Linked DNA regions of Lepisosteus oculatus. The protein of the gene in region 1 interacts with the protein of each later gene in a pairwise test. Links are inferred from orthologs where the notes say so. Each region holds a gene or a part of one and is shown in the gene's direction. Other genes may lie near its edges.

The links.
Region 2: the proteins of tex11 (region 1) and neflb interact in a two-hybrid assay, tested with the Homo sapiens proteins (2 studies listed by BioGRID and IntAct). The two-hybrid records come from large-scale screens. The link is inferred for Lepisosteus oculatus from reciprocal best matches to the Homo sapiens genes TEX11 and NEFL.
Region 3: the proteins of tex11 (region 1) and hyi interact in binary tests that used the Homo sapiens proteins (3 or more experiments, as listed by UniProt). The two-hybrid records come from large-scale screens. The link is inferred for Lepisosteus oculatus from reciprocal best matches to the Homo sapiens genes TEX11 and HYI.
Region 4: the proteins of tex11 (region 1) and znf414 interact in binary tests that used the Homo sapiens proteins (3 or more experiments, as listed by UniProt). The two-hybrid records come from large-scale screens. The link is inferred for Lepisosteus oculatus from reciprocal best matches to the Homo sapiens genes TEX11 and ZNF414.

What each region holds. Positions count from the first base shown.
Region 1 is NC_090703.1:50,026,504-50,034,798, reverse strand, and holds the start of tex11 (testis-expressed protein 11), read left to right. Parts: upstream 1-5,183; 5' UTR 5,184-5,374; coding exon 5,375-5,402; intron 5,403-5,847; coding exon 5,848-5,969; intron 5,970-7,445; coding exon 7,446-7,530; intron 7,531-7,906; coding exon 7,907-7,986; intron 7,987-8,295. UniProt on the Homo sapiens protein: Regulator of crossing-over during meiosis. Involved in initiation and/or maintenance of chromosome synapsis and formation of crossovers.
Region 2 is NC_090697.1:65,109,230-65,116,884, reverse strand, and holds the start of neflb (neurofilament light polypeptide), read left to right. Parts: upstream 1-4,390; 5' UTR 4,391-4,491; coding exon 4,492-5,553; intron 5,554-7,655. UniProt on the Homo sapiens protein: Neurofilaments usually contain three intermediate filament proteins: NEFL, NEFM, and NEFH which are involved in the maintenance of neuronal caliber.
Region 3 is NC_090704.1:2,447,777-2,455,556, reverse strand, and holds the start of hyi (putative hydroxypyruvate isomerase), read left to right. Parts: upstream 1-4,680; 5' UTR 4,681-5,073; coding exon 5,074-5,272; intron 5,273-6,038; coding exon 6,039-6,189; intron 6,190-7,043; coding exon 7,044-7,158; intron 7,159-7,443; coding exon 7,444-7,522; intron 7,523-7,780. UniProt on the Homo sapiens protein: Catalyzes the reversible isomerization between hydroxypyruvate and 2-hydroxy-3-oxopropanoate (also termed tartronate semialdehyde).
Region 4 is NC_090724.1:1,952,761-1,960,205, reverse strand, and holds the start of znf414 (zinc finger protein 414), read left to right. Parts: upstream 1-4,372; 5' UTR 4,373-4,579; coding exon 4,580-4,582; intron 4,583-5,455; coding exon 5,456-5,588; intron 5,589-6,031; coding exon 6,032-6,139; intron 6,140-7,016; coding exon 7,017-7,122; intron 7,123-7,445. UniProt on the Homo sapiens protein: May be involved in transcriptional regulation.

The sequences.
Region 1 (8,295 bases):
TTTGTCGAAAGTGAACACCCTGACGTGTTCTCCGTGTGCAGCTCAACCATATCTTACCATATCACAAACTCCATCCTCTGCGCTGAACGACAACAACCACAGGGCTTGTCTGATGTATAGCATCTTTTAGAAACTTCCAGAAGTACCCAGACCAGCGAAAGAGGAAAAAGACGCCAGTTATTCAAGGAGTAACTTTGCTGAATTAATTTGGATCAACACTGTCAAAAAGGTCAGTCTAAGAAATACATCTGGAAATGCTTTGAATATAATGCCAACATTACATGCAATAGCAAATGCAATGTATATAAGAAATATATACATTTTTGGGGGGGCTATATGTGTTCCTGTCAAACTCTCAACACTCAGATTATTCAAAAGCACAGCTCAGCACAGGCATTGAACTGGGCTGAGTGATGAAAAGAGGGTCAGTGTGGTAACGTATCACCTCGAGAGACATTCATTATTCTTGGGTTTCAAGGTCAGCAGTTTCCGTGTAAGAACCTGGGAACACCGTTTTCTCACAGTCTGGTCTGGGCACATTTCTGAACACGGCTGCGTGGCCCGAACTGCCCCAGGGGCGAGCCGAGAGAAATTAGACTCTCTGAAACTACAGCAATCATCCCGTCCATCCATTACCGGAGAGTTGTGATCCCCGGTGAGGGTGGCGACGATCCGGAGTCACTCCCAGAAGCACGCGGAGGGAGGCGGGAGCAGGCCCTGGAGCAGGCCCTGTTATCCCAGCCGGCACACAGAACCTGTCCCAGGACCAGGAGCGGGGGGACAGCAGCGCTATCGGCCGCCAACGGCAAATTATTGTTCTACATAAATGAGTAGGAATATTTAAAAACACGCATTCCAATTTTCAGTGCATCGATTTTTTTTTTTTTTAGAAAAACAACATGATTAACATGCTGCTGTTTCTCTTTGGGTTAAATTGCCCTTGGAGGGGTGTTTTTTTTCCCGTGATTAGGCCCTCAGCTCCCTGCCAGTTCCCCCGGGACAGCGGTGATTGCAAGATAAGACTGAAAGGCGAACAATTGGCGGAAGCCGGGAGCTGAGGGGAATGAGCTTCAAGACGTTTTATTTTAGAAGCCGGGCTGCGAAATGCCATTTAGAGGCTCAAACAATTCTGCTCGCACAGCTTGAAGCCCTTCCTTTAATCCGACCACGCAGCTCACATGCACAAACGGAGCGTAGCAGGGGCAGGACAGCCTGGCTGCAGGGAGGCCAGCAGACGCTGCCTCCCTGTCCGCGGGATATTCTTTAGTAGGGAGCAAGGGGAGAAGTGAGCAGCTCTTGAAGGGCCATTACTTTGCTATTGTGCTTAAATGTCCAGAAGCTGTTTCGTAAACGAGCAGCGATAGGTTTTTACTTTTCACTAAATAATGTCAAGCTTCTCCAAGAGCAATAATAAGCTAAATGTTTACTCTCGAACAAAGCTTGTTTCACCAGTTTGCAAAGATTTTGGCATGCCTGCTGAATGTATGTCTTATACACGTTTCGGCCTTTGTTTAGAACACAAAACTAATTCCTTAGCGAAACACCCAGATTCCTGAGCCCTTCTTGGGTTGACAGATTTTGACAGTGTAATTCTTTTCCCATTAAAGAAAACAAACCTACACAGTATAAGAAAAATTGAGGAAATTTAGTAATTCATTCCATGTGATGCATACTACCAGCATATATATTCTTCTGTTTCCCACAAAGCTGAGACTTATTAAAAATAGTCTCCTTCAAGCATTTTTGTAGAATCAAAGCCAGCCTTTCCACTTCTGTCATAAATGAACGGTGCTAAAATTGTAGCAGAATGATGATCTCATTGGTTTACGGGCTTTTCAGTGTAACCTGTTAGAAACCCACTAACACACAACCTCGGCCGTCTGCAATAGTTTTAGTACCTACGGCAAACGAGCACAACTAAACCGAGAGTAATGCCCAAAAAGACAAACTTGTGTTTTTCATTTCTGATGTCGTTTTAGTAGTCCCGAGAATCAGTGAGTGGAAGTTATTAACTGAAGTTCGGGAAGGACAACAACGACAAGTCAACCTCACTGAGCTGCACCTGATCACCATCATCACAGAAACTAGCTACATGAACGGAGCTCAGACACCCCATTCATCTCCAGCATCCCTCCTCAACCCATCTCCATCCCTCAGCTGCCCCTGGTCACTCCTCTCTGAATGGGGCCCAAGTTCTCCGTCCTGCACCCCAGCAACTTCATCCAGACATTCCCAGTGCACCTGCAGTGGCTCCTGCATGTCCCCTAGTGAGATCAGAGTGCAGGCGGGATGGGTGCCGGTCTGCTCCACCGGGGTGACTCACCTGGCTGAGCGAACGGCAGGCTGCCCACGAGGGGTACCCTGACAGGACCCCCGCTCCCTCTTCTCCCCGCGAGGGACGAGCCAGGAGCTGCTGCAAGGAAGGGTGAGGGTGCGAGAGGGGAGGTGAGAATGGAGCTCGCAGGTGGGAGGAGCGGGGTATTTACTGTACATGTGGGCAGCCGGAAACAGGCAAGACCGGGGCTTGGCCTCCTCCTGAGCGTTGGTTCAAGACTACATCTGGTGTCTGAAGCTCTAGCGTGCAGCTAAGGAAAGGTTCAGTTTCATATCAGGAGGGGAGGTGGAGGGGGGGGGCTTCTTTTCTTCTGATACCTGCGAAGCTCAAAAGCCGAGATGTGCCACCGAGCACCAGCACAGATGGCACAGGCACAGGCACAGGCCTCAGGGACGATCACAGTGCCCCAGCGTCCAGCGGGATTGGGTCTGCCCTGATCTTTGCCCCCCCTGCCCCCCCACCCCCGCCAATGTGAAAGTCACACCCTTCCCGCGCGAAGCCATACATTCACGTGCTGTAGTTCGTGTTGAAGTTATAACAGCAAGCAAATATCTCTCAGCTGGAAACAAGGTCTGGACTCTTTCAATGACAATCTGTACGTGCACTTAACTATACCGTTTATATATTGTAACGCAACGGGGGCTCTGGCGGGCGCCCTTGCCGCATTTAGTCAGCCCCCGACGGTGGAACCCAGGACTCCCGCGTCTCTCTGCAGTGACCCAGCCCGGTGAGCCAAAGAGAGATCTCTCCACAGCCCAGTAGCTGTAGTCCTGCTATCGCAGGGAAGGGCGGCGACGTCACCGCTCTGGTACGCCGGCTCTTACACAGTGCCTGTCGGCCGTAAGCGTTACAATATTTAACCCTACAATACAGGTACAACGGTACTCACACAGGGCCAGAGCCCAGATTGACCCAAGAAATTACATTTGCAGGCTGAGGGCGGAGGAGAACATCAAGATTCCTGTCTCAGTTCACGTTGTATACCTCATCTGTCAGCACCGGTTCCCAACACTTCTCAGACATGAAACGTATTTACACGGCTTCGCATCGAAACAGCGATACTTAATTTGTCTCCTTTATGTTCTCCCACAGGCGTACCGGATTTTATACAAATGGTTTTGGGAGGCATGCGACGCCAGCATCATTTCCTATGGTGTAAAAAAAAACAACACAACTGGCCAAATGAATGACCTCTGATCACGATAAACAGACACGATAAATAGGCTGGGCCTCTGCCAAAAATATTCTAACAATTTCTTGCTCAACCAAAGAAAAGCAGCCAGAGCTCAGTGGAAGAGCTGACAGTACAGCGTTTTCATTTGTAGGCGGCAGAGGAGAACAATGGGCCTCTTCAGCGCAGATGAGATGAATGGAGTTCGGCGTGCGCCAAACGTCAGCAGAAACATTTTCCATTTTCCAGCCTGTGTGCCAGTTATCACCCATTAAAAAAGGAAACAAGGCACTACTGGGAGCCTCTTAGAGTAGAAGGGTGTGGTCTGAAATTCAGAACAGGGTGTCTGCTGTCACGGAGTTAGCTGAGTCTGACAAGTTATAACACTGCGGAGTTCTAATTCTATTCTAATATGATCTAATAATAATTCTTTACATATATATATAGCGCTTTTCCTTACACCCTGCTCAAAGCGCTTTACAGGTCATGGGGATCCCCACCAGTGTGCAGCCCCACCTGGATGATGCTCCAGTCTGCTCCCCACACACCAGCTCTCAGTGGGGAGGAGCGCAGAGCGATGAGATCAATTCATCATTCCACAACCACTCCACACAGGAGCCTTGATGTGAAACTGTGAACATGCACAATCACAGATGTCAACTCATAAGTAATCTTAGCTCATTGGCTAACAATGATTCTGCTCGTCCAGTGGCTATTCAGGGGCGGTGTGGTGGCTCTGTGACTGTGCGCCTCTGGCTGGAAGGTTGCTGGTTCAAATCCCATGGCTGGCAGAGAGATCTTACTCTGTTGGGCCCCTGAGCAAGGCCCTGAACCCCAGCTGCTCCAGGGGCACCGTATAAATGGCTGACCCTGCGCTCTGACCCCCAGCTTCTTTCTGTCTGTGTGTCTCATGGAGCGCAAGCTGGGGTATGTGAAAAGACAAATCCCTAAGTTGTATATGGCCAATAAAGTGATCTGATCAACTGATGAGCAGCAGGTCAAAGCCTCTTTGCTCAGCAGTGCCTTGTGAACAACAGACCAGTAGCTCCTACAGTGACAGATGCTTTACACACGCCAGGGAGAATTATAGTCATGTTTTCAACGGCGTTTTTATCGATCAATTCACGCGACTCGAAACACGGATTGGAATGAAAAGACTTTGATGTGAGTTCTTGCGGAGTTTTTTTTTGATTTAGCCAGAACAGATAACACGGGATCGAGCTCCCCCTAGCGGCGACTTGGATACAGACGGTTTCTCCGGGATAATATACTGACAACAGCAATAATAATAATAATAATAATAATAATACAAGTAACAGGTTTATTTCATGCTGAAAAAGAGAAGAAAGAACACACAACGTTTCAGCCGTGGAGCCTTCTTCAGGTGTGAATAAACCTGTTACTTGTTCCTCTACAGCCTACGGATGCTGACGCAGCTCCCCACCTGAAATAATAATAACACGTTTATAACCTTGGATAATTTCTAACATATAATTTTAAAATTATAATGAAGATATAAGCTTTTCACAATCAGTGGAATTTCGGACCAATATTCATGGAAGCCGGTTTTTTTAGCATTTAAACTTTAAAGGAAAGCGAGGATTAACTGCTTTGAGACTCCCGGGGAAACGGAACTCCAGGCGCGCGCGCGCGCGCGCGGCCCGGCGCGAGGCGCCGACAGGCTCGAGGCCCAGCTCGCGAGCTCGCGGCCGTGGTCGAGACGCCGAAAATATCAACACATTAAAACTGCGCGTCTTTTTTTTAGAGGGGTTTTAATTATTACATTTCAGCCAAGCAAACCTTTTGAAAAGCTTTACAGCTGCGCCTTTTCTTATAAACTCATCATATTTCTTTTAGCTGTCACCGACATGGACGACTTCATCTCGAAGGTTAAAGGTGAGGAATATTTTCGGTCTGAATTTAATTTAAACTCATGAGGGGAAAAAAATATGACTACATTTATATTCAAAATGTGTGGAAAACGTGTTTGGGGACGACATCACGTTTCACTGACGAGGACGCGATGTGATTTGTTTGTGATTGTATTCCAAATGGGCTTAATGACATCATTTCTTTTTCTCAAATGTGGGAGTTCAATTTTAACTTGTAGTCCATTTGTCCCGTAAAAACAAAACATCATAGTACAGGACATGTATTATTTTATGGTCGCTGGTTATTTTATGGTATGTCGCCATGAAGAAGATTAGAGAAGGAAAACTGACTCCAGAAACTCGTGGTGGGTCTTAAAAAGCGAACTTTTTAAATGACCGAATATTATAAAAAAGGGTACCATCAGGTTCCTTACTATTCATGTCTGTGAATTCATGTAATTCACGCGTAGACCTCACCGAGGAGCTGGTGCAGAAGCAGACGCCTGGCAGCGCGGAGCGGCTCATCGACAGACTGTTCGGCGAAGCGGCTCGTCTGGACGGCGAGCTGGCGGGGGAGGTGCCCCAGCCGCAGGTGAGGCTGAAGGCCTTATAGCGCCCTCTAGTGGAGAGACGGGGGTGTGGCGCTGGAGTGATATGCGCCCTCTAGTGGGAGAGACGGGGGTGTGGCGCTGGAGTGGTAGCGCCCTCTAGTGGAGAGACGGGGGTGGCGCTGGAGTGGTAGCGCCCTCTAGTGGAGAGACGGGGGTGGCGCTGGAATGGTAGCGCCCTGCAGTGGGAGAGACGGGGGTGGCGCTGGAATGGTAGCGCCCTGCAGTGGGAGAGACGGGGGTGTGGCGCTGGAATGGTAGCGCCCTCTAGTGGAGAGACGGGGGTGTGGCGCTGGAATGGTAGCGCCCTGCAGTGGGAGAGACGGGGGGTGGCGCTGGAATGGTAGCGCCCTGCAGTGGGAGAGACGGGGGTGGCGCTGGAATGGTAGCGCCCTGCAGTGGGAGAGACGGGGGTGTGGCGCTGGAGTGGTAGCGCCCTGCAGTGGGAGAGACGGGGGTGGCGCTGGAATGGTAGCGCCCTGCAGTGGGAGAGACGGGGGTGTGGCGCTGGAGTGGTAGCGCCCTCTAGTGGAGAGACGGGGGTGGCGCTGGAATGGTAGCGCCCTGCAGTGGGAGAGACGGGGGTGGCGCTGGAATGGTAGCGCCCTGCAGTGGAGAGACGGGGGTGTGGCGCTGGAATGGTAGCGCCCTGCAGTGGGAGAGACGGGGGGTGGCGCTGGAATGGTAGCGCCCTGCAGTGGAGAGACGGGGGTGTGGCGCTGGAATGGTAGCGCCCTGCAGTGGAGAGACGGGGGGTGGCGCTGGAATGGTAGCGCCCTGCAGTGGAGAGACGGGGGTGTGGTGCTGGAATGGTAGCGCCCTGCAGTGGGAGAGACGGGGGGGTGGCGCTGGAATGGTAGCGCCCTGCAGTGGGAGAGATGGGGGGTGGCGCTGGAATGGTAGCGCCCTGCAGTGGAGAGACGGGGGTGTGGCGCTGGAATGGTAGCGCCCTGCAGTGGGAGAGACGGGGGGGTGGCGCTGGAATGGTAGCGCCCTGCAGTGGGAGAGATGGGGGTGTGGTGCTGGAATGGTAGCGCCCTGCAGTGGAGAGACGGGGGTGTGGCGCTGGAGTGGTAGCGCCCTCTAGTGGAGAGACGGGGGTGGCGCTGGAATGGTAGCGCCCTGCAGTGGGAGAGACGGGGGAGGCGCTGGAATGGTAGAGCCCTCTAGTGGGAGAGATGGAGGTGTGGGGTTGGAGTGGTAGCGCCATTGTTTTTTGTGTGCAATGTATCTGATAGGAACAATCCAGTAAATGACATCAGTTGTACATCTTAAAAACCTCTTTACTCTCCATCAGTCTTATTTATAATAAAAAAACACTCAGAGTAACAGCCCTTTTAAAGTATTAATTCTAATACTGCCTGTTAAAGAAAAGGGAAGTGTTTTAAAAGTATTCAAAACAATGTGCTCAAAAACCAGGATGCAGGCACACAGTGTGTACAGTATTTTTAATTTCTCAGGCTGAAGAACATGCCATTAAGCTGTGGAACTGGGCTGTTACGAAACATGTGGGCTCTGCAATCACTGAGGAGCAAAGAGCAAAAGGTAACAAACTCATTCTCTCCAGATGAAATTTTAAATCAGCGTTATAAAAAACTACCAATGTACTCAGATTTGTGTTTCAATGTTTTATTGAGACCACAAATTAGCTGAATTTGCCAATCTTTTTCATAGCTGAATAGCCAGCATTGCTGTCTCAGTAATGTACTGTTGATGCATTGGTTCTAGGCTCCAGTGTAATTTACTCTCCTAATCTGTTTAATGCTTTAACGTTGCACATGTGGTCCTTTTCTGTTTAGATTAATTTAAAGCTTATTCTTTTCTTTAAAGTAATATTCAGGGTATCATGTTTTTAGACACATTACTGTTTTTCATTCACTGCTGTCTTTGGGTCCTGCTCTTTGTACAACATACGCTGCAGTACGTCATGTGGCTTGCAGACTGGCCTACGCGTATGAAACTAAAGACTTGTCAGAGGGAGCGATTCGCAGACAAATCCTGGTGAGTCCTTCCTCTTACCTGCAGACCTGTCGCATGCCAGACCTTGCTGGTCTGTCTAGTCTGTATTAGCATTGCTAGAACATACTATTCCTCCTGGGAGGAGCTAAGGTTGCTGCTGGAGGAGGTGTAAGCAGAAACAGTAGGGGGCGCTCATCCTGCAATCTGTGTGGGTCATGATGCCCTCGTATAGTAATGAGGACACTATACTGTAAAACGCCACTGTCCTTTGGATGAGATATAAAACCGAAGACCCAACTCTCTGTGGTCAGTAAAAATCAGAGGGCACACTTCGAAAAGACCCCGTTTCCT
Region 2 (7,655 bases), on another chromosome or scaffold:
CTGCAAGCTGAGTCCGAGACAGGGTGAAGCCCCCATCTAGAGGTCTGTGGGTGGACAGCAGGACCCAGCCTCAATGGGTTGGCAATCCATCCCAAGATGTGCAAACACATTTGCAATTAACCTAGGCAGCACGTCCTTAAATTGTGGGAGGAAACCTCAATGTTACTATAGAGTGACCATGCAAATACCACACACAATGCACCCCACGCCAGAATGGAACACAGGAGTTACAGAGCAGGAGCTAAGGCAAAAATGCTACCTGCCATGCCTCCATGCACAGGGGAACCTAACTGTGTCCAGTCAAATGTAGCCACGTCCAAGTCACGTGCTCCAAGGACTGACCTGCTGTAACGTACAGTATGTGATCCTTTTGACTGACGTGCCACCTTAGTTGAACTGATCTCTGCTTCGAAAGTGAGAAAGCTTCCAACACGTTTCATCAGTATTTCATTAGAACTAATTTAATTTGTAATTAAATTAACGGGGCGCTTGTTGAAAGACCTGGACTGGAACGGAGCAGAACAGAGGCAGTTGATTTACTAGCCTTTTCAATCCATTGTTTTCCATTCTGGGCATGTTGGCCCAGCCAGCTCTTAAGACAGCACAGCTGTTCAATAAGAAATGTGATTTCAGTAATCTAATAAATCAGATGATCGACCTAAAGACCCGCCCTGCTACAAATTCAATTAGAAATTCCGGTAATTGGGTGCCAGGGAGTAATGTAAAGCTATGTTTCATATTGAATCTTCGGTTTCAAGGGTCTCCAGCCCTAGTCCTGAACTCCAAAACTCTGCTTTTCCTTATACTCCAGGTCTCAATTTCTTGATTGAACCAATTATTGGCTTAATTAGTTCAATTAAGTTCAGTCTTAATTAATTCCTTCTGACTGAAGGTGCCTATAGAAGGAGAAAGGGGGCAGATACAAAATACCGCACATCAGTGAGTAACTACTGTATCTGCAAGACCACCCATCTCTTTAGAGACTGTGTCATTAAATTAAATCTGTGCCATTGTGATTTACAGCCCCTCTGTGATCCTGCTGTGATCTGTCTCTCTCTGCCCACTGGCCCCACAGCGTAATTCTGCTGTCTCCTCCCAGCTCATTAGCACAAGATCGATGTCGTAGCTCACAAGCACACTGCAGTAAACCAGTCCCCACACTCTCCACTGTGCAGCAATCTGCAAGGCAGAAGATGAGAGGGACTGGGGTTGGCTGGATTCCAGATTTTGATGGCCAGAGGACAATCACTCAAGAAAAAAAAAGCAGATTTAAGGGAACAGTACCTACCACTCATGGGATCTACACTTTCTGTGATTTTCATTACACTATCTTGCTACAGGAGCACTGCATGATTCTATCTCAACAAAGACCAACTTTTCCATGCTGACAGGCTGGGTAACAGTTCCAGCAAACTTAGCTTTGGAAATAAATTACACCAGAGGAAATGACTAGGGGAAGCCTGCTGTATTGCTAGTTCCTATACCTAGTTTAAAATTTTAAGATACTGTATACTCGCCAACAACTGGATTACAACAAGCAATGATGACAATTCACAGAAAGTTTTTTTCACTCAGTGATGATTAATGGGTTCTAAAAGTCCAGTCCAGAACATATTGAGTTATGTTATCACTTTCATGGCTAAGAATGATTTACAAATTTTAAATTCACAGTAACATTTAAAGTTTAAATTTAAGTTTAGTGTCTATAAGTAAACTGGGGCCACTCGCTCACACACATTCACTCAGATCTTAAATCAATTATTTTCCCTAGGCTTTACTAAATAGGAGAGAGAGGTACACACAGAGCAGCTGTCAAAGCGCTGAGCTTGAAGATGAGAGATGGAATTAAATCAGTTGAAAGAAAGATACCGAGAGGGAACTGTGTGGGGGCAGTGGAAGATCACTGAAACAGGCTTCCTACAAGAGACCAGCAAGAGCTAATCGACAGATAACACCACAGCGGCTTCTCTGCCTTGCTAATTGGTCCTTGATTTCTAAAGATGCTAACTGAGCCTAACTAATGTAATCCTGCAGTCATGAGATCGCTGATCAAACCCTGACTGAGCAGAATGACTCTCAGAGATATTGTCCTTGCTGAAAAGCAACATTTTCTCATTGATAGTGTAGCATCACATAAAACCGTATTAATTAAAATGTTTCTGCTTCTGTTTTCTTTAACTCTATAGGCCCTATTTAAATGTCCCCTGTTTTTACTCATTGTGACCCATCATGCTTTGCAAACAGTTATCAAATTTGATTCTACAGCCTAATGTTTCACATTTTTCACACATGCCAGTAATATCCCTCTCAGAAAATAACAAGGCCATAATTTTTTTTCTTTTAACGCACACTTGTAAAATACAATGTTAGAGATTAAGATTGTCTGATAGTCAGAAAGGAGATCTTAAACTGTGGGCAAATGGCCCTCTCCAGAATAAATGAATCACATGGTCATTTGTGGACTACAGGGAAAAACAGGCTCCTAGTGTGTTCATCTGGTAGAATAACACAATGCTCCTTCCCTCTGCATCTGAGGTGGCAAGAGGAACAACAGTGTTTCTGTACTGTACAAAAATCCTATTGGAAAGCCTGTTAGACCCACCAAACAACCAGGGCTTATCATAGAGGAATTATACATATACTATATATTAAAATATAATGACGGTTTCCAATGTACAGCAGTTTTATCCTTTATAGATTTTACCAGATGTACAGTACTCCAGTGAAGTGCACATATGTTTGCATGTATTTTTGATCTAAGATAATTCTAAATGCCTATGCAAATGTCCTGCTAATAAGGCAAGAAGCCAAAGTGATCCAGCACTTGCTACTGGTTCAAACAGAAGAGCTTTGAGTTTGTAAAACCTGAAATGGTTCAAGCGCCTGTGCAAAGAGAGATATTTTCCTCCCTGCCAAGGAGTTTAAAAACAGAATATTTCTGGGTAGGAATGAGGAAATAAGAGAAATTCAAAACTGCACTTTCTGCAATATATTGATCTTGAAATATTGTGTTCGTGCAGGCGCCAGCTAAAACATTTAACTAAGAACATTGCAATCACCGGACTGGTTGAAAAGATCCGGACTGACAGAGACAACTGGAAGATAAGCACAAAGTTCCTTCAAATCCCAAAGACCCACGATGGAAAGGTAACGTTTACCATCTCCTGGTGCTGGAAATGACACTTTAAAATTGCACACAAGCTATAAATATGACATAAGCCAGGAGCTATGCATTTATCCCCAGAGGTAGTCTGCAAACTATTAGGAGCAGTTTGCTAATCATTAGTGGACCTCAGTGATAAATGCCTTCTTTTAATAACCTCTGTTGATAGCTACACAATCGTCGGCACTGTCAATTACAAATGCTGATCTGAAGGGTGGCTGAGATGATCTAAGACTCCAGGGAGCAGAGGACTGTGCCTGAAAACGAATTGCACAGCTACAGCGGCTACTCAGTTACACTCCACCCCCCAATTTGACTGCGACACGTTCCCACCCAGACTGTAGACTCCCAGGTTTGAGCATCTAGCCTCCTGCGTCCGCCCTGAGACTGCTCGGTCTACACATCACCGCTACCTGCTGCTGTACTCTGCAGAGTGCAGCACAAGCCATCTGTTTAAGTACTTGGCTGTAGCCAAGACACTGCATCGTCTGCCGTAGTTACTATTACAATAGTGAGACACTGAAGTGAATGGGCCCCAGATTCTCAATTTCACATTTCACACACTGACCTGAGTCTCCTGCTCCTGCAGTCTATACCTAAATACTGTTATTGTTATTACAGGACAATGATACCTGCCCTTACTGTTCTACAATCTATAAATGGAGTGTTATCTAGAACAGGCTTGGGCTGTAAATGCTGTTATATAAGTACAATATCCCGAGCTATGATAAAGACAGGTTCATGTTTTAGAAATTTCCATTCAGTGTCTTAATGTCTTTGTTCCTGCGGCTTAAAAACTGGCACGCGCCTCCAGAGCCATTTCACTTTGCTTAGTGACAACTTCGTAGCGCTTGCAATCCCAGAGTGACAGCTCGGGACATGGCCCTAATTTACATGACTGCACAGTCGTGACATGATTTCAAGAAAGCAATACAGCTGAAATGCATGAATGTGGCTTCGCACGAGCCTCACACTCATCCTCTCATGCTTGTGAGACTCCCAAAGAGCCAAAGTAAAAGTCGGATCACAGGAGAAGACTTGAATTCAAATTCCCTTGCAGGAAGGAAGGAAAAAAAGCCCCTTCCTTTTCTCCTTTGCTCTCCCCCCTCCTTCTAATCCTCCCTCCTCTCCAGGCAGAAACAGAGTCCTGCCTCTCTCTCTCTCTCTCCATCTGCAAGCTAAGCTTTGGCTGAGAGCTCAGCTATTGATCGCCGCTGTCAGTGGAAAAGTGCTTGCGTCAGAGCCCTGCCAGGGGTATAAAGGCAGCACCGCCGCGGTAACAGCACTGAGTGCACACGGCAACCGAACTCCCCTGCCCTCCCGCCGCCATGACTTCCGTTGGCTACGACCCCTACTTCACCTCCTACAAGCGCCGATATGTGGAGAGCAGCCCCAGGGTGGTGCACATCTCCGGGGTGCGCAGCGCAGGATACGGGGGCGCCCGCTCGGTCTACTCCAGCCACTCGGCTCCGCTGTCCACCTCGGTGGGCACAGCCCGCCACCGCCCCTATGGCCTCTCCGCCTCCTCCGCCTCCTCTCTCCTCATGGCGGCGGACTTCGACCTGAGCCAGGCCACGCAGGTGGGGAGCGAGTTCAAGACCGTCCGCACCCAGGAGAAAGCCCAGCTGCAGGAGCTGAACGACCGCTTCGCCAGCTTCATCGAGCGCGTGCACGAGCTGGAGCAGCAGAACAAGGTGCTGGAGGCTGAGCTGCTGGTGCTCCGGCAGAAGCACGTGGAGCCCTCCCGGCTCCAGGCGCTGTACGAGCACGAGATCCGGGAGCTGCGGGCCGCCGTGGAAGAGGCGCGGGGCGAGAAGCAGGCGGCGCAGAACGAGCGCGACGGCCTGGAGGATGCCCTGCGGGGCCTGCAGAGCCGCTACGAGGAGGAAGTGCTGAGCCGCGAGGAAGCGGAGGGACGGCTGATGGAGACCCGCAAGGTGGCAGACGAGGCTGCCCTCGGCCGAGCCGAGCTGGAGAAGCGGGCCGAGACGCTGCTGGACGAGATCGCCTTCCTGAAGCGGGTGCACGAGGAGGAGATCGCCGAGCTGCAGGCGCAGGTGCAGTACGCCCAGATCTCCGTGGAGATGGAGGTGGCCAAGCCCGACCTGTCTGCTGCCCTCCGCGACATCCGCTCCCAGTACGAGAAGCTGGCCGCACGCAACATGCAGGCCGCCGAGGACTGGTTCAAGAGCAAGTTCACCGTGCTGACCGAGACGGCGGCCCGCAACACCGACGCTGTGCGCAACGCCAAGGACGAGGTGGGCGAATACCGGCGCCAGCTCAAGGCTCGCAGCCTGGAGATCGAGGCGTGCCGGGGCATGAACGAGGCCCTGGAGAAACAGCTGCAGGATCTGGAGGAGAAGCAGAATGCTGACATCGCCGCTCTTCAGGTCAGTGTTTGTAGTGCAAGTGGAGGGTATAACTTCCATATACAACTTTTACTGTCATTTCTTCCATGGTTAAGTTGTATATACTTTATATATCCACATAATCTCTCCAATTTCTAAAACAGATCAGTAATCTGATCTTTGGGATCAGGCTAGAATTCTATCTAGATTTTTTTATCTTAGCCTTTGCCTGCCTTTAATGCAAGTTTTTGTAACCAATACGATAGGCACAAAAACAGAGGAAGATTGCATTGTATTTGACCGTTTCTCTGTCTGGTCAGCCAGGGGAATGAAACTTCATGGCATCTACTCAATGGAGAGTTAGTAACTGCAGTATCCGTCTCTCTACTGTCGTGATCAATAAGAGTTAAAACCGACTATATCCCAAACTGAAATGGCAGATGTCAGAGAAACAGAACAGCTGCAGAGAAAGGGTTAATTGGGATTGCTCCACACTTTATGTTTCTTGTTCTTTGTTACTGAGAAGAAAAGTGGACCAGGGCCAGAGACACATTAGCGAGACCAGGAAAAGAAAAATCTCTCAGCCGTTCCAGAGAGGTACTAGAGATGTCTACAGACTTTTGCTGAGACACTCAGTTCTGTATTTAGTTTCACATTAAATCCATCTGACGGTTTATGGTTCATCTGCGATAGATGGACTAGAAAATCTCCAAACATCTAGAGAGTTCTTTGAGAAGTTTGTACTGCACATTGCACTTCTGCAGAAGCAGTAGCAGGCTGTCTTCATACTGCCCAGAGTCAATTGTACAGCCCTCTGATAAAAAGATCACTCACAGCACACGGTGCTATTGTTGATGACAGCTGAAAAAAGAGAGAGAGCAGAGACTTTTTTGCTTACCGGAGATGTGCGGTGCTGTGAGAGGAGCTTCCCTTATAATCTTAATAATATTTTTTTTATTCAGCACACGATTGCAGTAGCTGAACAGGAGCGGAGCTTCTTCTTTTCGTGAGACAGGTTTGAGTGCTTTCAATTGTGCCTAGCACATTGTCGAGTGAGCTTTGCATGTCTTCCACCAGGAGAATGCTGCAGGCAGGGACAGCTTCCTCTGCGGTGTTGCGGACGCCCGGGGCTCACAGCACACTAAAATGAATTGGTTACTGGAGAGCAAGCCTGCAGAGTGACAGGTCTTCTGCAGTCGAAATACAAAGCCATTGACAAAACACAGGAAAAGGAAAAAGTGGAGGAGTTGAGAGCAAAGCCTGTCCATCCTTAATGCTGTATGTACAGGACACTAAAGAACTAATGATAGTTACTGAGCAGATGCTCTAATTCCAATTAACTTGCACAGGATAGGATGTGATAAAAACATCAACTACCTGCTGAGTGACACTCTCTAGGCAATCTCTTTTACATACCACCCCAGTGGTGGACTCTGGCAGGCTTGGAGCTTAAGCCATGACCTTCCTGGTTCTGATACAGCCCTATACCTCCACCACTGGCCCCTACTGCCAATTCTGCAAATCCTGTACAGGGAGAAAGCGACACAGGAAAAAATCAAAATGCACACTCTTGGCACTTTTCATGAGCGCTGCTGGCATTTCCCAGAACACCATCCATCAGTGTCTCTTTCCCTAGGGGGATCTGCTCTGCTAATCCTTGAGGTGGCAGGATCCCAAAGCTCCTCATGGCTTGCCTGCAGTATGGCGATCTGTATTCTTTCCTGTTATTATTATGGTCCATTTGAATGCTGCCAACAAATGTGATTTAAAGCCGAGAAAATGCCAGCACAGCGATTGAACAGTCAGTCTGAAAATGGATGCAGTCCCCAATTTGAGATCTGTCCTGGCAGTTGTAGCATTTTATTCGTTTTCAACGGGCATTGCATACTAACTCTTTAGTGATATTAGCGCTACACAGAAATTCCTAATGCCCTCTCCTCCTTCACTAAACAAAAGATCCCAGAATTCAACTGATCTACAGACTAGGGCTTGTGTCAGGCTTTGCTCAGTGGATTTCAGCTTTGAAATGACATCAGTTCTTTCTTCATAGAACCTGGCCAGCACTTCAGTTGCAGGGGAGAAAACAGAATATTAATATGAGAGTAGAATATTTTTTAGGCTGGTTAACAAGCACAATAACAAAC
Region 3 (7,780 bases), on another chromosome or scaffold:
TAACCTTAAAAACCACTGTATGTACTGTATGTACTTAGACTCTTGAACTCAAAGTTAAGTGTTCTTTTGGTTTACCCGACCCTATTCTAAAGTTCTGCAGAATATAAATCTGTGACATTTCTAATCATCTGTACGGTCACAATCCCAGGTTACTGTTGTTCAAACAATGAATCAAGTCTTTTTTAGAAAAAGTTTATTATCAGTAGCTGTCTGTTGCTCCATTGTTCTGTTCCAAACCAGTGCAGCATGATTAATTACTTGTTTATATTTCTGCTCCTGGTTTTCAAAGACACAAAAACAACACTTTTCCCCATGATTCATACCCATGACATGCACACTTCAAGGCTGGTATCAGAACGTAGTGGTAAAAATGGTGAAAAAGCTGCGGACACAGTATTTCACAATATTTCTCATTAACATCCATTAAAAAAACACAGGGCACCCAAGATCCTTCTGAGGTACGTATATAAAATTACCTCTTTTACCTCAGCCTGCTTTCTGCTGTCACGGCATATACCCCTCTATTTCAGTTTCCATAGAAACAAGTGCTGCATTCCCAGCTTGCAAAGATTAATTGATTCATAATTATCAATATGGCACAGCATATTTTGTTTGCATCTCAAATTGTCCATGAAATCATAGTAAAGATTTGAAGAACCAGCTATGTATTTCCAGATGTTCAGCATTGAAAACAAACAATGCGGCCTTAAGTACAACTACTGTAAATGTACAGTAAATGTTGATGTGAAAATAACAATACTGCAGTTCTGCAAGCAGAATTTATGACATTTCTATGAAAATGAAACACCTGTCTCATAGACTCTTTTACTCCTGCATTGTGTTAGAAACCCCTAACACAAATGACAACCAGCAAACAGATACGGAGCAGCCCTGCAGGGCCTGTTCTTCCACTCAGCCTTGCTGTGTCACTACAGCAGCTCAGCTCCTTGAAATCATACTGTAGTTCAAGGGGCTGCAGCGATCATTCGTGAAAAGGTCTGTGCCGATTCCGACAGGCGCTCGCTACACACAGCGCGAGTCTCAGATGATGGAAGTCGATGATGAGGAGCCTCTTTATTCTAAATCAACGGAACGGGAGTACGGCGAGTCGAACAAACACCAAAATGATCAGTTAAAAAAAAAATCATTGTGAGTGCATTCTTCAGACCAAGTTTCAGATCTGTCTCGGGTTAGGCTCTGTGTCCCCCCTTTCACAGGGGAACACCAGGAACCCAGCCCTTCACTGAGGAGGGATTGAATAGCTGAGCCTCTTGAACGCATTCTCAACTTAACGCACGGGACCTTTGACTGAAGGAACTGAACCTTTTCAGTCCTGAACAGGGGCGACGACAAAGAGACCCGATGCAAGTGTCCAGGTTGTATTAAAGCCTCAAAGACACTGACGAAGTCAACCCGTTGGAATTCCCCCGACTGAACACTGATCCACTGACCAGAAGCCACAAGCGGAGGCTACGAGGAAGTGCATTTAAAAATGAAGTCAGGGGGACAGGAAGGGATATGGGAGCTGGGAACCCCTGTTGCTGAAGCCGATAACCTGGCATTTTGGTAGAAAAGCTGGATGACATCCTGGGACCAATTAACCACTAACTGCCTAACAGGCTAGATGGGCTGAACCATTCTTATGTAATGTTCTCCAACCCTAGCAAAAACAAATAACTAAAATGAAGATCAAGTGAATGTATGTATATACAGTATATAAAAGGACATACTGCAACTTTCAAAAATGGCTGTGGTTGGAAATCCCTGATGCTCTTCTGCATCTCCATTCATGAGAAATGAAATCTGAGGAATGAGAGTTGACCGGCTGGACATGTTACAGTTTTTCTCTACCTCAAAACCAGTGTCGAGCAACTCCTACAAATTAAAGCTATACGATCTACCATGTAGACTCATGTTCCCTAATGCTCTGGTTTGTTTAAGTCTGTTCTGTAGAAAACTGGTCTTCCTTTCCCAGGGTATCACAGAGCTGTCTAGGGGAGGCAGCCTTACAGACCTCCATAATCAGCCATCATTCCCTCATCAGCCTCATCTGTCTGACAGGGCCTTTCCCCCTGGACTGGAAGACTGGCATGGTCAATCTGGCTCACGTGTGATTCATGCAGTTCGTGACGGCAGGACACGAAAACTCCTGCAGCCTGACACCGACATGGGCTCTAAAATCTCTGCACCGTGCCATCCCCTCTAAATCAATCTCGCGGTGAACAGGACATGTCATGTAAAAGATGCTCCGAGCAATGTCAATCATTACTCGTGCAAAAAGCCACTTACTGGCATTGGGAAAAATGCATTTTCTCAGTGTTTTACAAGGGCTATCGAACAACCTCAAAAGCAAAAGTGTTTATTTTTCATTGTCATTTGCTGGTAAGACCCTTTGAGGGCTTTTTTACTTCCTGAAATCAGTTCATGTCAGACAAACGGATCCAAAAATCCTCTAAAGTGGAAAAGTACAGGAACAGAACTCTCTCCCTGTTGGTACTTTCTTGAAGGTCTGAGAAGAAATCATTTCAGTTGTGCACAATAGCTATCACATTGGCTGTTTCTCAGAGTCACCAGTTCTTAGCACCCAAGCAAGGCATTGTAAGGTTTTGCACCTGTTTCAACATGTACTGGCTTCCTTCCACTAATCTCACTCAGAAAGACGATTATTCCTGGTTGAAGAGTCGTGGTCAAGCTGATCCTGTGCTTTCTAAGGGAAAATGATTTCATGGAGATGGCATCTAATGGTAACTATTTTACATAGTTTTCACCCATCAGACAATTAATTATGCTTTACAAACAGCCGCAAGTACTACCAGGAATTGGTGTGTAGCAGTACACTTACACTTATACCAGTAATTGGTATGTTAGTGTTATGTCTTTCATCATTTCAGTCTCTGTACACAGATGGAAAACTTTCCAAGTAAAGCTTCTCCTCTGGATTATATTTAAGGAGACTTTCCAGCACAGCTATAATTGGGAAGTTTAAGTTCTGAATTCATACAGTACTTTAATTTCATATGGTGCTTTAATTATGGAAAACCTTTTATTTAGCTTGGATGGCAATCGTTATTATAGACCATGTTAAACATTTGGCTTCAGTTCTATTTAAGTACCTCCAGCATTTGTTGCCTTTATGTGACGTGGTGATTGGTCTTAATGCTTTTGGCAGAAGGCATTTTGCAAACTTGAGCTTCTGAAACTTACAACCCATGGAACATTAGCTGGATATAAACAGATGCAAACAATCCCCGACAGCTTGAGACATCAAAACAAAAAAAAGGTTTTCCTGTTGCATCCTGGAAAATCTTTTCCGGGATTAATCTGATTTAAAGGAGTAAATGCAGGCTACACATGGCATCCTTACACTATTATGGAACATAAGAATGCTGAATTCATTGCATTAGAGGATACGGGCAGATCTGGAATGGAAAGTAAAGAGCTCCATAGTTCACAAACTAACTTCGGGAAGCTCTGTTGGCTGACTGGTATAGTTCAGAGGTCACGGGTAGACTGCTTTTTGGCAGCAGTACCTGACTAATAACAGCGAGGAAGGAAATATTCATCTAGTCTAGGTGTCACCTGTATTCTGCCTCTCCGTATTGACTTATTTCCATCACAGTTACATGCTTGGCCAAAGGTTAGGCTTTTAAGTCACACGTATAAATGTGCTAAGGTGCCAAATCTCACATGATTTGTGGGGTCAAAAAACTTCCAACCTAAATTTGACAGAGCTGGGCCAGCCCAATAAGTGTAAATTGAGTGTAAGACCTTCATCACACTAATCAGACAATGGCTCGATGTTCCCCAGGGATCTATATATATATAGGACTATTCGCACATGTGTTTCATATGTAAAATATAACTTAATCGGGATGAATAATTTAATTACATAGAGTTGACACACAAAAAAAATCTATACAGTGCAAAACTCTGCTGTGGCAGCGGATCGGTGTTCTGCCCGGGAGGTTTATCTGCTGTCTGGAAAGCGGCGCTCTGCTTGGAGCCCATGAGAGACCGGGATCAGATCCTGCCAGGAGCGAGAGAGACCGTGCCCTTATCCCCCGCAAAGCGTAAAGACATCCGGCCGTCTCCCACAGGAGGCTTGTGAAAAATGCACACCGCTCAAAACCCGAGAACAAGGACATTACCAAAAAAACAGGCTTTTGTAAAAATAAAAAAATGGTTTTCTAATGTGTGCTAATAAGATCAACATACATTTTTTTTGGTCCGGACAATACTTGTTCAGTTTTACTGAACTGAGTGATAAGAGTCAATCTGATTCCTTGCTGACTGGTGAGGTCTTAAACAAACAAAGGATTCTTCTCACGACTTTGAGCGTTCTGAGGCCCTTCTATAATAGCAAGGCAACAGATGCAGGGTGTGTGGGCAGATGAGGCTATTGGCAGTGGGATTCACACAGGCGCCGAGATACGGCTGGTTCGTCAACACTCTTCAGATGGAGATCACCCTGAGCAAAGACAGCAGACTGCGCTGTAGATAGTCATCTCTCAGGGTGGTGCAAAGGTCCAGAAAACGTAAGGTGCAAGGTGCCTTGCACAATGAGACGAACCCTCACCGTCACCCACTGGCAGGTGAATGCCCCGTCGAGGAGACAGGAAGAGGCAGGGGTTGGGACTACTAATCAAAGTTTACTACTGTACATGCCAGACACGGAACAGTGGGGCTTTCACAACATCCCCGAATCGCACGATGGGAAAATAAGTCGTTGTGTACAGCTTTCCTCCTGCTATTCCCACGGACTACACAAACCCACCCCTGCCGAAATCAAAAGACGCTTTGCGCAGGCGTGCGGTTCCGAGTCCGGTGCGGAAATAATCACAGGCGAAGTCACGTGTAGATCTGTGCACACAGCGGGCTGTCTACGTCCTGCAGAAATCAAGTATTTACCTGAAACTGCTGGGTAATGAGTTAGTTGACTGGACTTTGCACCACGGAACCGGAGTCCGCCTGTTATTGTTTCTGCTGTGCATTTAACCCGGAACTTTTTTTTTATATAAAGTAAAATTCCGTCCTCGCTTCCCTTCATTTGGGTCAAGTGTCTGCAAAAAAATAATGCCCCCGTTAAAGTTCTGTGCCAACCTCTCCTGGCTGTTCACGGAGCTGCCGGAGTTCGCCCAGCGGGCTCAAGCGGCGGCGGCAGCCGGGTTCCGGGCGGTGGAGGCGGCGTGGCTGTACGACGCGGACCCGCTGGATCTCCAGAAAGCCATTACACAGGCCGGGGTGGACGTTGTGCTCATAAACACACCGCCTGGTAAGAAATAAAGAGAGGTCTTGCACTGTAGACGGGACATGCGCGTGTTATTACGCCGCCGAGGGAGAAAAAAACCGGCGCCTGTAGGACAGCGCAATAAGTCAACTTCACTGTGAAGTTATGCACTTCGCTAATGTTGGCTTTCTAACGGAATCGAGTACATTAATGTTAAGAAAGTTAAATACTAGAAAATGGTACGAAAGATACATTTTTAGTGATTGCACTTCTTGCAGCAACAGTTTGCCTTACACACTGTGGGCTTGCTTGTCCCTATGAACGCAGCCTTCACATTATTTGAAAGTTTGCAAGACGGTGTCTCAGAGAGCAAACCCGTGAGCTGTCCATACCTTCATGTTTTTAATTGGCTTAAGGCGCGTCATTAGCAGCAGTTTGCGGGTTAGATTTAAAGGCACGTATCAGCTGGGACTCGTCACCGCCATTAATATGCCAACGAGTTGTCTCATTGGCGTGGTCCTTGATTCACAACTCTGCGTGGATGTCTAGTCCTCGGCGATCTTGCTGATCCTTGCAGTTACAGTAAGGTAGAAAGATCCATTTGAATGGGGCCTCAGGATACGCTGTCACCTGGAACTGCTAGTTTACTTAGCATCCTTAGGCTGTGCTGCACGTCGTTTGAAGGGCACTCTCTGGAAGCTCAACGACGCGCTGTGCAATGATGATCGTGTGCAAATGAAATCACTCTGCCCTGGCCTGATGGATCACTGGTACTCCTGCTACACGTCTCTTTGAATGCCATTCACCGCAGCCCACAGAGTACCCACAGTCCGCCGGTGTGCTGTTGCAGGAGATGTCGGGAGGGGAGACCTCGGACTGGGGGCAGTGCCTGGCCGGGAGGAGGATTTCAGGGCAGGCCTGGACCTGGCTGTGCGGTATGCCAGAGCCCTGGACTGCGGCAGGTACGCGTGCCTCTGCAGGCCAGCGCTCAGAGCCGGTGGCGCACGTGGTGTCGTGAGAGGCAATGCGCGGGGAGACGTGCCTCTACTCAGGAAGCACAGCGCCACCGTCACGCTGGGCTCCCCCCTCGAACGCTGGATACTCAACGTCGGCCTGCTTTCCCGTGTTCCGCGGAAGTTAACCCGGGTGTCCCATCCCGTATTCTCCCAGACCAAAATCGGATTCGGTCGTCTCGCGGTACGGCAGGGGGTGTCCAGTCCCGGTCCTGGAGGGTCGGTGTGCGTCATTCCAGCTCGGCACTGAACGAGCGAAACCATCTCGTTGTACAGCTTCGGCTGGGCCCATCGCACAGCTCGCCCCCAGGTGTTCGGGTGCTGCCGCTGTAGGACCGCCTGTAGGCGTGTCCCAGAGCCACAGTGCAGCCCCTGGAAGCCACTGCTGCAGAGCTGGCGTCTAGAGCACTGTGTCGGGCCCGGACACTGCCAGCCCTTTTTGTACTTCAATGACAGGCGCAGGCGGGACTGAAAAGCAGTGCCCTCCTTAGTGAGCGGGGGAGTTCCCAGTGTTGGGGGCAGACGTGTGTAATGAATCACCTGCTGCATTAATTAGCGGAGGATTAGAAGCAGCCGGCTATGAGCAGGAATGATGAGACCCTGAGAAAACGGGGTAATAATCCGGGGGGCTACAAGAACTGTCAAGACCCGTGGCCATCGGCGGGCACAGCAGATGCAGAGAGTTGGTATCGCTGTTACTGCTGATTTCGCGGACTGGTTCAGGGCGAACCTGGGCTCGCCAGGGCCGGTGTTACGTCTTAATCCCTGGGTGGCCTCTCCGGCTCCACTGTCCGTTTTCCCAGGATTCACCTGATGGCCGGGAGAGTGCCCGCAGGGCAGGATCGAGCAGCTGCAGCTGGGGAGATGGAGGCCACCTTCATTGCCAACCTGAGATACGCCGCGGATGTCCTGTCGAAGGTCACACCCGATCGCTGAGCTCAAAGCCACGGGGGGGGGGGCACAGAAATGTGAAATTGCTGCATTTCCCCCCCTGTAGATGTCAGTCGGTGAGGCTGCCGTTTCTGCGTAGTGATGATAGTCGATGGCGTGCGGTGCTTGTGCTTCAGGACGCTGTCACAGGCCCGCCCGTGCTCAGCGAGGCAGGAACTGGGGGCCGACGGGGCCCCCCGAGGGAGGACCGGGGGGGAACATCGGGCAGGTCTGTCTGCGATGCCATGTGATTGTCTGGTTTTCCCCTTGCAGGAAGGAATTCTTGGGCTGGTGGAGCCGATCAACACCAGGATAACGGATCCCCGCTATTTCTTGAACTCGCCGCACCAGGGTAAGCGGACAGTGCTGCACGTATTGTTAGGCATGGAAGAGGAGTTTGTGGAGATTGATAGAGGTCAGTGCGGCCCATTTAGGTAAAGATACGTTTTAAATGTGGGTATAAAACTGCATTAGTGGGATTATTCCCAGTTTGGGGCTATTCAGAATGAAGGCTGTCACCCGATGGCACTATTGTATGAAGATGCTGCCTGATCCTTGGACCAAGAAACTACTCACTCCAAATGGACTGGAATACCTGAAGAGTCTCCTC
Region 4 (7,445 bases), on another chromosome or scaffold:
CCCCAGCTTGTCCTGAATTTGTCCTGCGAGCTCCGAGACGAGATTTGAAATACAAGTATTCTTACAGTAAAGAGACGGCCGAGAGGCTCCGGTGCTGGGGTCGAAGGGGCTGTTTTGCACAGTGTCTGCTGTTACTTTCTGCCCCGGAGCAGCACGTGCCCCTGTTGCGGGGGGAAGGTGGGAGAGACTCCTCCTGCTTGTATTTCCAGCAGTCCTTCCTCTCAGCCTCAGGACTGCCGGCAGCCATGGGATCAAACCACAGGTGTTCGAAACTCAGCTTCGTCTAAAGTACCACAAATGCCAACCATGTCCGTTTCTGCGAATGGCCCAAAAACAGAGCAGATTCCCTGAGATGAGTTCTCATCCCTACATTTTTTATCCTGTTTCATGAAAAATACATCTCTATAAAATGATCCTGATTCTTTAAGCCCCTGCTGAAGATATTTGGAGAAATTTGAGGGAGATTTAATTTTGGAAGGGTTAGAAGTAACTGGATGCTGTTTTGTAATCCGGCACTTTGTGAATCTTCTAAAAGCCTGTGTATCTCTGGCCCTCAAGGTTTTTCTTTTTTGTTGCTTAAAATGTTTTGTTGTTTTCAATCCAGCTAAAAGCCACTTCAAGTAGACCCACACCTGGTGTACTGTACCCTCGAGAAGACGTGGAGTAATATCTAAACAAAGATAGCGTGCAAAAAATGTCAATGAGCCTCTCTTTCAACTGGGAATAATGTAACAGGACAATTGCTTTTTAAAAGTTTATAAATGAAAAGCAGAAAATCGCTGCCACTGCTGGTTAACCCAGAAAACTGCTAAAACTGAGCCTCGCCTGTAATTCACATTATGGACACTAGATGGTGCTGTTTGCCACACTGACGCTTGACGGCTTGCATACCTTAAATAACACCCGAATAAGGCTCCACAGCCGAAAGGTTGTGTTTCTTTTCCTCTCTTTTCAGCATGGAATAAACCTTTACTCCTTCCTTTGTACCCTAAATAACAGTCTCGCTTGAAGGGACGGTCCAAAGCTCCGCACTTCAGTCAGCATTCATACAGAGGTTCATTTTAGACAGAAATGCTTTCGGTGATGCAGAACCTGTATACAGTCTTGGACAATATGTTCTGTCATATTTCCAAATTAGTTTAAAAAATGTAGTTATAAAAAAAGTCTGTATATACTGTTAGCAGAAACTGTTAACAGTTTTGTCTAAATTAAAGTGAAAATTATGCCTCTCAACTACAGTACACCACAGTGCCAGCTATACATCTCTGAAGACAGAACACAGAAAATGGCACTAACTTCTTTGTACGAAACCGACTGACTCCTAGGACTCCCAGCGAGGACTACATCGCGCGAGCAGAGCTCCGGGATCTGGGGCTCGGGGAGTCGGCTGTCCGAGAGTTTCACTGGGACAGAGAAGCACGAGCATTTCTGTTTTTCTCATATGGATTTTTAAAATAGGTGATCGAAATAACGACAAAAACGCATGTATGCGATGCAGTTAAATCGTGAAGGAAGGCTCACTATGAATACTGCACAGTGTTGGTAGGGGAGCTAAGGGTTAGATCCAACATAACATTTCAGAGAACGTTTTTGTGAGGGACTGGTATGGTATTGGGTGGGGGTCACGGATTTTATATAAAAGGAAGACGAGAGCTGCTTTGCTGCTGGACGAGGCTTATTAACTGAGTCACACGCCGCTACGTCAACGGGAATGAAGACGTCACTGCGAAGTGATGACGCAATAAAGGCTCGTGGAAACGCAGTGGCATCCCTCAGTTCAAAGGTCATGACACATTCCACCTGAATTCCTCCTCTCGAACTGCTTCCGGCGATCATAAATAATCCATCTGACCCCACCTTTTCCGAGTCTCAATCGTAGATTCTTTATTCAAGATGCAAGCCGTGTATCTCCCATGTCTCCTGCATGAAGATGAAGTCTAAAATCACAAGAAAAAAAAACCCAAAATTCACTTGGAGAAGATCCACATCTGTGTGGAACTGCGTGTCGTTTTTATGTGCTTCTGGCACCCGGTAAACAGACTCACCTTCTTTCACAAAAGCATCCAAAAAGGCTTTGCTAGAACACCGGTACAATTCAATCACCTGCGAGAAATGAAGTTTATTTAAAGCGCGAGATGTTGACATAGCAGACTTGTATTTTAGTTTCGGTTTGTAAAAAAAACAAACAAAAATATTTTCACTGAAAAATGTAAGCGCCAAGCTTTTAACTCGGCAGGACTCTGCTGGGATCAGCAACTCTGCGGAAGCCTAATTTGTATTTCAATGAAAACACCTTTATCTAAATGAAACAAGTATTTGCACCGTGTAAGGGGAGGGGCGCCTTCTGAGCCACACACAGTACGCAGTGTGGGGACAGGCCGACGGAACCGAATCGAGCCTTGGATCGCTAAGGTGGGTTCTGGTGAAAACTACATCACACGAGTGGGGGATTATTTTCGCTAATTTGGGGCTTTTTTACACGTCCACTGCCTCGGTGGGCCACTCGTTCACGGGACCGCAGCTGCGCTTCACGCCGGCCTCGGCAGTCTCCGTGACTCGAGCAGGTGCCCACTGTGGGCTCCATTCCCCGTGAGTTCGGGGTCTGGCCTGAAGCGGGGTGCTGCTTAGCTTTAAACGGCAACTATTTTATCTTCCATTTATACTAACCTTTGTAGTATATTTCCCCGAGGCCTCTTGCGGTAACAGTACTGTACTCACAATCAGATTTTGATGATGGATCTATTCTCTCAGTTTTCTGGACTGAAAAATTAAGTTTAAGATTAAAATAATGTTTTGAACTACATCGGTTTGTTCTGCTTTTTTGTAAGCTTCTCCGCTTGACTGGGTTAGACTCTCCCCCCTCACACAGTACCGGAAGAATATTTACTGGTATATCTCTAATTTGCTGGTCTACCGTCTGCATCATTTTTCGTTGTCCTCTGTACAACTTGACATTTAAGATGCGGTACTTTTTACAAATTCCACCTTATGACAGCAGTTGTACACTGCGGGAGTGCATTTCTGCCATCAAGGAAAACGTGTTATGTGCTATCACGTTATCAGGAGAAAATGATCTCGTTATTACGAGATGGCACATTCTCTAGTAATTACGAGATAGCAAATCATCTCCTAATTATAAAATAGCAAGGATCATTTCAGTGGATGGACAACCCGTGACGTTGTGTAATGACAGCACCTGAGGCTACTGGGAGCCCAGCTGGACTCTGGGCTCAGACGGGATCCAGCGCTGCAGAATGAGCAGTTTAGTCTGAATGAAATGTTACCACTTGTACCTAATGCGCACTCATTCATAACCATGAGGATACCCGCACTTGCTCTTAAACAAGAATGATTGATTCCTCATTCTTTATTCACGGCTTAAAACTGAAAGTCAACCAACGCCGATTCGAGACGATGACTGCGTGACCGTCGCGCTACGACGTGATTATCACATGAAGTAATTACGAGATACTGTGCTCATAGCGTGACCGTGTGTGGGACAGTGCTGAGACGCGCCCTTTTCTGCAGGTCTTCGCTGGAAACGAGAGGGTGTGAAGGTGTACTCAACTGGATTGTCTGGGACTATAAAGGATTTCCAAAATTACTTGGACAAACCAGCCGCGCCATACGGGGAAGGGTGAGGGTGCCCGGGTTCAGTCCTAAGGGATGATTCGCCGGAAGCGATTTCAAGACGGGGCTGTTTCTAAGAATACGATCTGAAATGTGGGACGTTGGCTGCTGTTGCTAACCTGCTATGGGATATTCTGACATCGTTTCAGTACTAAAACAGTTATCTCATCGGGGTTGTTTCAGAATTCCTTGTCACCTCTGACAGCCTGTGTCCGATTTAATCCTGAAGCAGGACCCGGGACAAGAGCAGGAAGATCGAAGTGCAAGTATTTGTTCTCGGGCTCCAGGTAATTCCGCGTGAAACGCTGCACCAGGGGTCAGCGCAGCTGCCTGGCGGTGCTGGGGCCCGGGTTCAATTCCTGGGGTGCTGTCTGCGCGGAGTTTGCATGCTCTCCCCGTGTTCGTGTGAGCTCCGTTCCGGCTTCCTGCCACAGCCCCCCCAAAAAAACATACTACACTTGATCCCAGCCAAAAGACCGAGAAGCAGACATGCTGTTAACCGCCTTCTGAGAAAAACCGGCCCCGGTGTGTGTGTGTGTGTTTATATCAGTGTGTGCCCTGCGCTGAGCTGGCGTCCCGTCCAGCGCGTAGCCCGGCCTGTGGCCCGTTGCGCTCGCCGGGACGGGCTCCGGCTCCCCCGGCGGTCCCCTCCTGCAGGAGACCGGACGGGGCGGCCTGACGCTCCGGTTCAAAGCGGCGGCGTCACGTGACGGGGGAGCCCCGAGCGCCTCCCCGTCTTTGTTGACAGTCTCGCGACAGCTGCAGTCCAATATGGCTAACGCGCAGGGGCTGCTTGCGAGAAAGTGAAATACACGCCTTTGGTTATTTATAGTTTCTTCGCCCACCTTTTTTTTTTTTTTGGAGTGTGTGTAACCGAAACAGCGCCACAAGACTGGTCGGAACCCATTAACCCCCTCCCCTCCCTCCCTCTCCTGGTTTTAACCGGCGAATGGTGAGTGAAAGAGATTAAAAACTGTCCGAGAGTCGTGCGTTTGCAGAAAGAAGTGTTTTCTTTCGGCGTGCTGCGAACCCGACACTTTGTGCATCGTTTCTCCCTCGTTCTTACTTTCTTTCCAGTATTGAGAGCCATTCAGTGCCAACAGCTGGAATATCTGACGGGTGTTTGCAGGCGCCTGTCTCGTAGGCAGCTCCGGTGTGTAATGCTAATGAGGGGGGATTCGCAGTCGTACTCGAGAATAAAAGACAGCAAAACAGAATCAGTCCATTTCGTTGTTGAAAGAACCTCCCTCGGACCCTGCATGTTCTGAAACGCAGCGTGACGGAGATGCAAGGATTTTCCGTTTGTACTAAGTGATAGGACGCACCGCTGAGTAGTCGTTGAACGGAGATGTCCTGCTGTGTTTCTGTTTACCTCTGAGCAAGTTCTTGTAACTTCTGCACGCGCGAGACGGAGCTCCACTTTCAGCCCTTGTGCTGAAATGAAGTTTTCCTCCGAACACGCAGGCTGTGTTCGCCCTTCCCAGGAAAACGGCAGCGACGTGCTTTTCATTCTGTCAGGTCCCCCCCGCATACTGGGCGACCTCAAGGGTTTATCGAGCGGGAAGGAAGAAATAAAACATCGCTTTTGTGACTTTAAAAACCGATCGACGAGATTAAGAGAATCTTGCAGGTTTTGAAACCACCAGTGGTTTCTGGTAGGAAAATGTTTATATTCCAGTCCCCTCGGTGTTTAAGTGTCTTTTCGTGTTGAGTCACTAAATGAGCTAATACTGAGAATATACCTCGGCACGAATGACAGCTTTCTCCCTGTCTTTTTTTTTCTTTTTGTGATGGAATCGCAAAACAAGTTCTTGTTGTGTTTCAGACAGCCTCTCCCGCAAAAGCTGTTACCCGCCCACTTCCTGTAGGTCCTGCTCATCATGAGCTCAGGCCCTCTCTCGGCAGCGACATGTCTGAGCCGCCCCTGGGACAGCTAGCGCCCCCTGGCGCCACGGAAGGTACCACATTTCTGCTCCGCCGCTCTGTCAGAAACGTCTGCTGCATTCCTTCTGGGCTGACCTTTTCCTTGTAGCTTTCATCCAAAACCTGGCTCCCACCCATAGGAGCAGAGTGAGGCATCTGGTTCCAGGGTACAGCTGCAGTGTCCTGCCTGGGATTCAAACCCGGAGCCCTGCAGTTCTCAGTGCAGAGCCCCAAACTCTATATTATTATTAATAATGTTGCAGTGCTTGGATAATTTGCATTTCTGTTTTTAGGAGCAGATTTTGGGAAACAGCGTACAGCACGCCTGACTTCTTCAGGTTATTTCTGTAGATTATTCAGTGCATCAGTGCTTTACAAGGTTGTGCTGTTGGAGCCCCTTGTTAGTGAGACATCTGTCCGGACGCTTGTTGTTTGCAGGCTTCGGGGGGGTTTGACGTAGACTTTGTTGGCCTTGTAGGAAAAACTGTGCCTTGTTCGTTCTTCGGCTGCAAGCAAGTCTTTTCTGACATGCAGAAGCTGATGAGCCACACGAGAAGCCACTACATCCCAACCCAGTCACTGGAAGGTAGGGATTAATGTCCTTCAGTCCCACATTCCTTAGGGGAATGATCTTTTTTTGTTAGTTTTTGCTTCTAGCTGTGTGTAGGGATCTGACCCACACTGATAGAAAGATGAGCCCCAGTGCTGCAGTACCCTGCTAGTGTGCGGTGGTCTGTGGTTGTGTGGGCTGTTCTGATGCCCTGTGCTCATGTTGGGGGGTGCAGATTGGCAACTGCTCTGCTAAATAAGTTCAGATTCACCCAGCTGCGTGTGCACACCGCAGTCGAGAGGTTACTGATATGAGACTTTGCGCCTCTCGAGTTTTTGTGGAGAATGTAGGATGTAGGAAATTGAGCAGATCGCTCCAGCCAGATCTCCCTCCTAGCATTCCAGACCTGCATGGAGAGTTTATTTCATTGGGTAAGTGGCACTGGCATCACCTCCCACCATCCATGCTGATTAATCTCAGATAACCCTGAAGTCGCTTTCTGCTCGTACTTTCTGCACGAAGCACATGAACTCTGCCTCCAAAATGATGTTGAAGTGGTCTTTTATCTTATGCTCAATCAAGCCCCCCAATTAATCAGTAAAAATTAAGGGAAAGTGGTTTACAGGCAACTGTAATCAGTGTGTAGAAGTGAAGGGGTGATGTGTAATTTTATGGGTTTAGTGTAATTGAGGTGAAGTCCGTTTACAGGGCTCTGGTGTGGCCGTGGGGATTCCTGTAAGAGTGGTGTGAACTGAATTTGCATGACTAGATGCCTGTTATGTTATATTTATCTGTAATGTCTGCTTGTACTCTTTGTCTGCAAGTTTGTGTGTGTGTGTGCTTCGATGCATCAGTCAGACAATGGAGTATCGTATCGTGAGAGAGCGCGAGTCTGACAGAGTCCTCTCCTCAGGCAAACAGTTCCACTGCTCCACGCTGGGCTGCACAGGCACGTTTCCCTCCATGCAGAAGCTGATGGACCACACGCGCCACCACTACAAGCCCAACCGCTACTTCCTGTGAGTCAGGCTGCTGCTCACTGCTGCGCTGCAGAGTGGGGAAACTCGTTCTGCTCGGTCAGCTTGATCTGCTGCAGGTCTCAGTCCGGTTTGGCTTGCATAACGCCACGCCTTCTGGAGAAGCCACCTGACGGGAAAAAACGTGGCCGTTTTGTGCTGGGGAAGCTTTATTTTCTATCCTGGCTGTAAGGGTGGCTTCTCAGAGCGCTTCTGTACCTGCTCAGACAGTCCGTGAATACATCTGCATGCTCGAAGAGTTCTCGTGTCGGTGTGAGCGTGGTGCTGAGTGTGTGTGACATCCGTGACCAGGATGTTCATCGCTG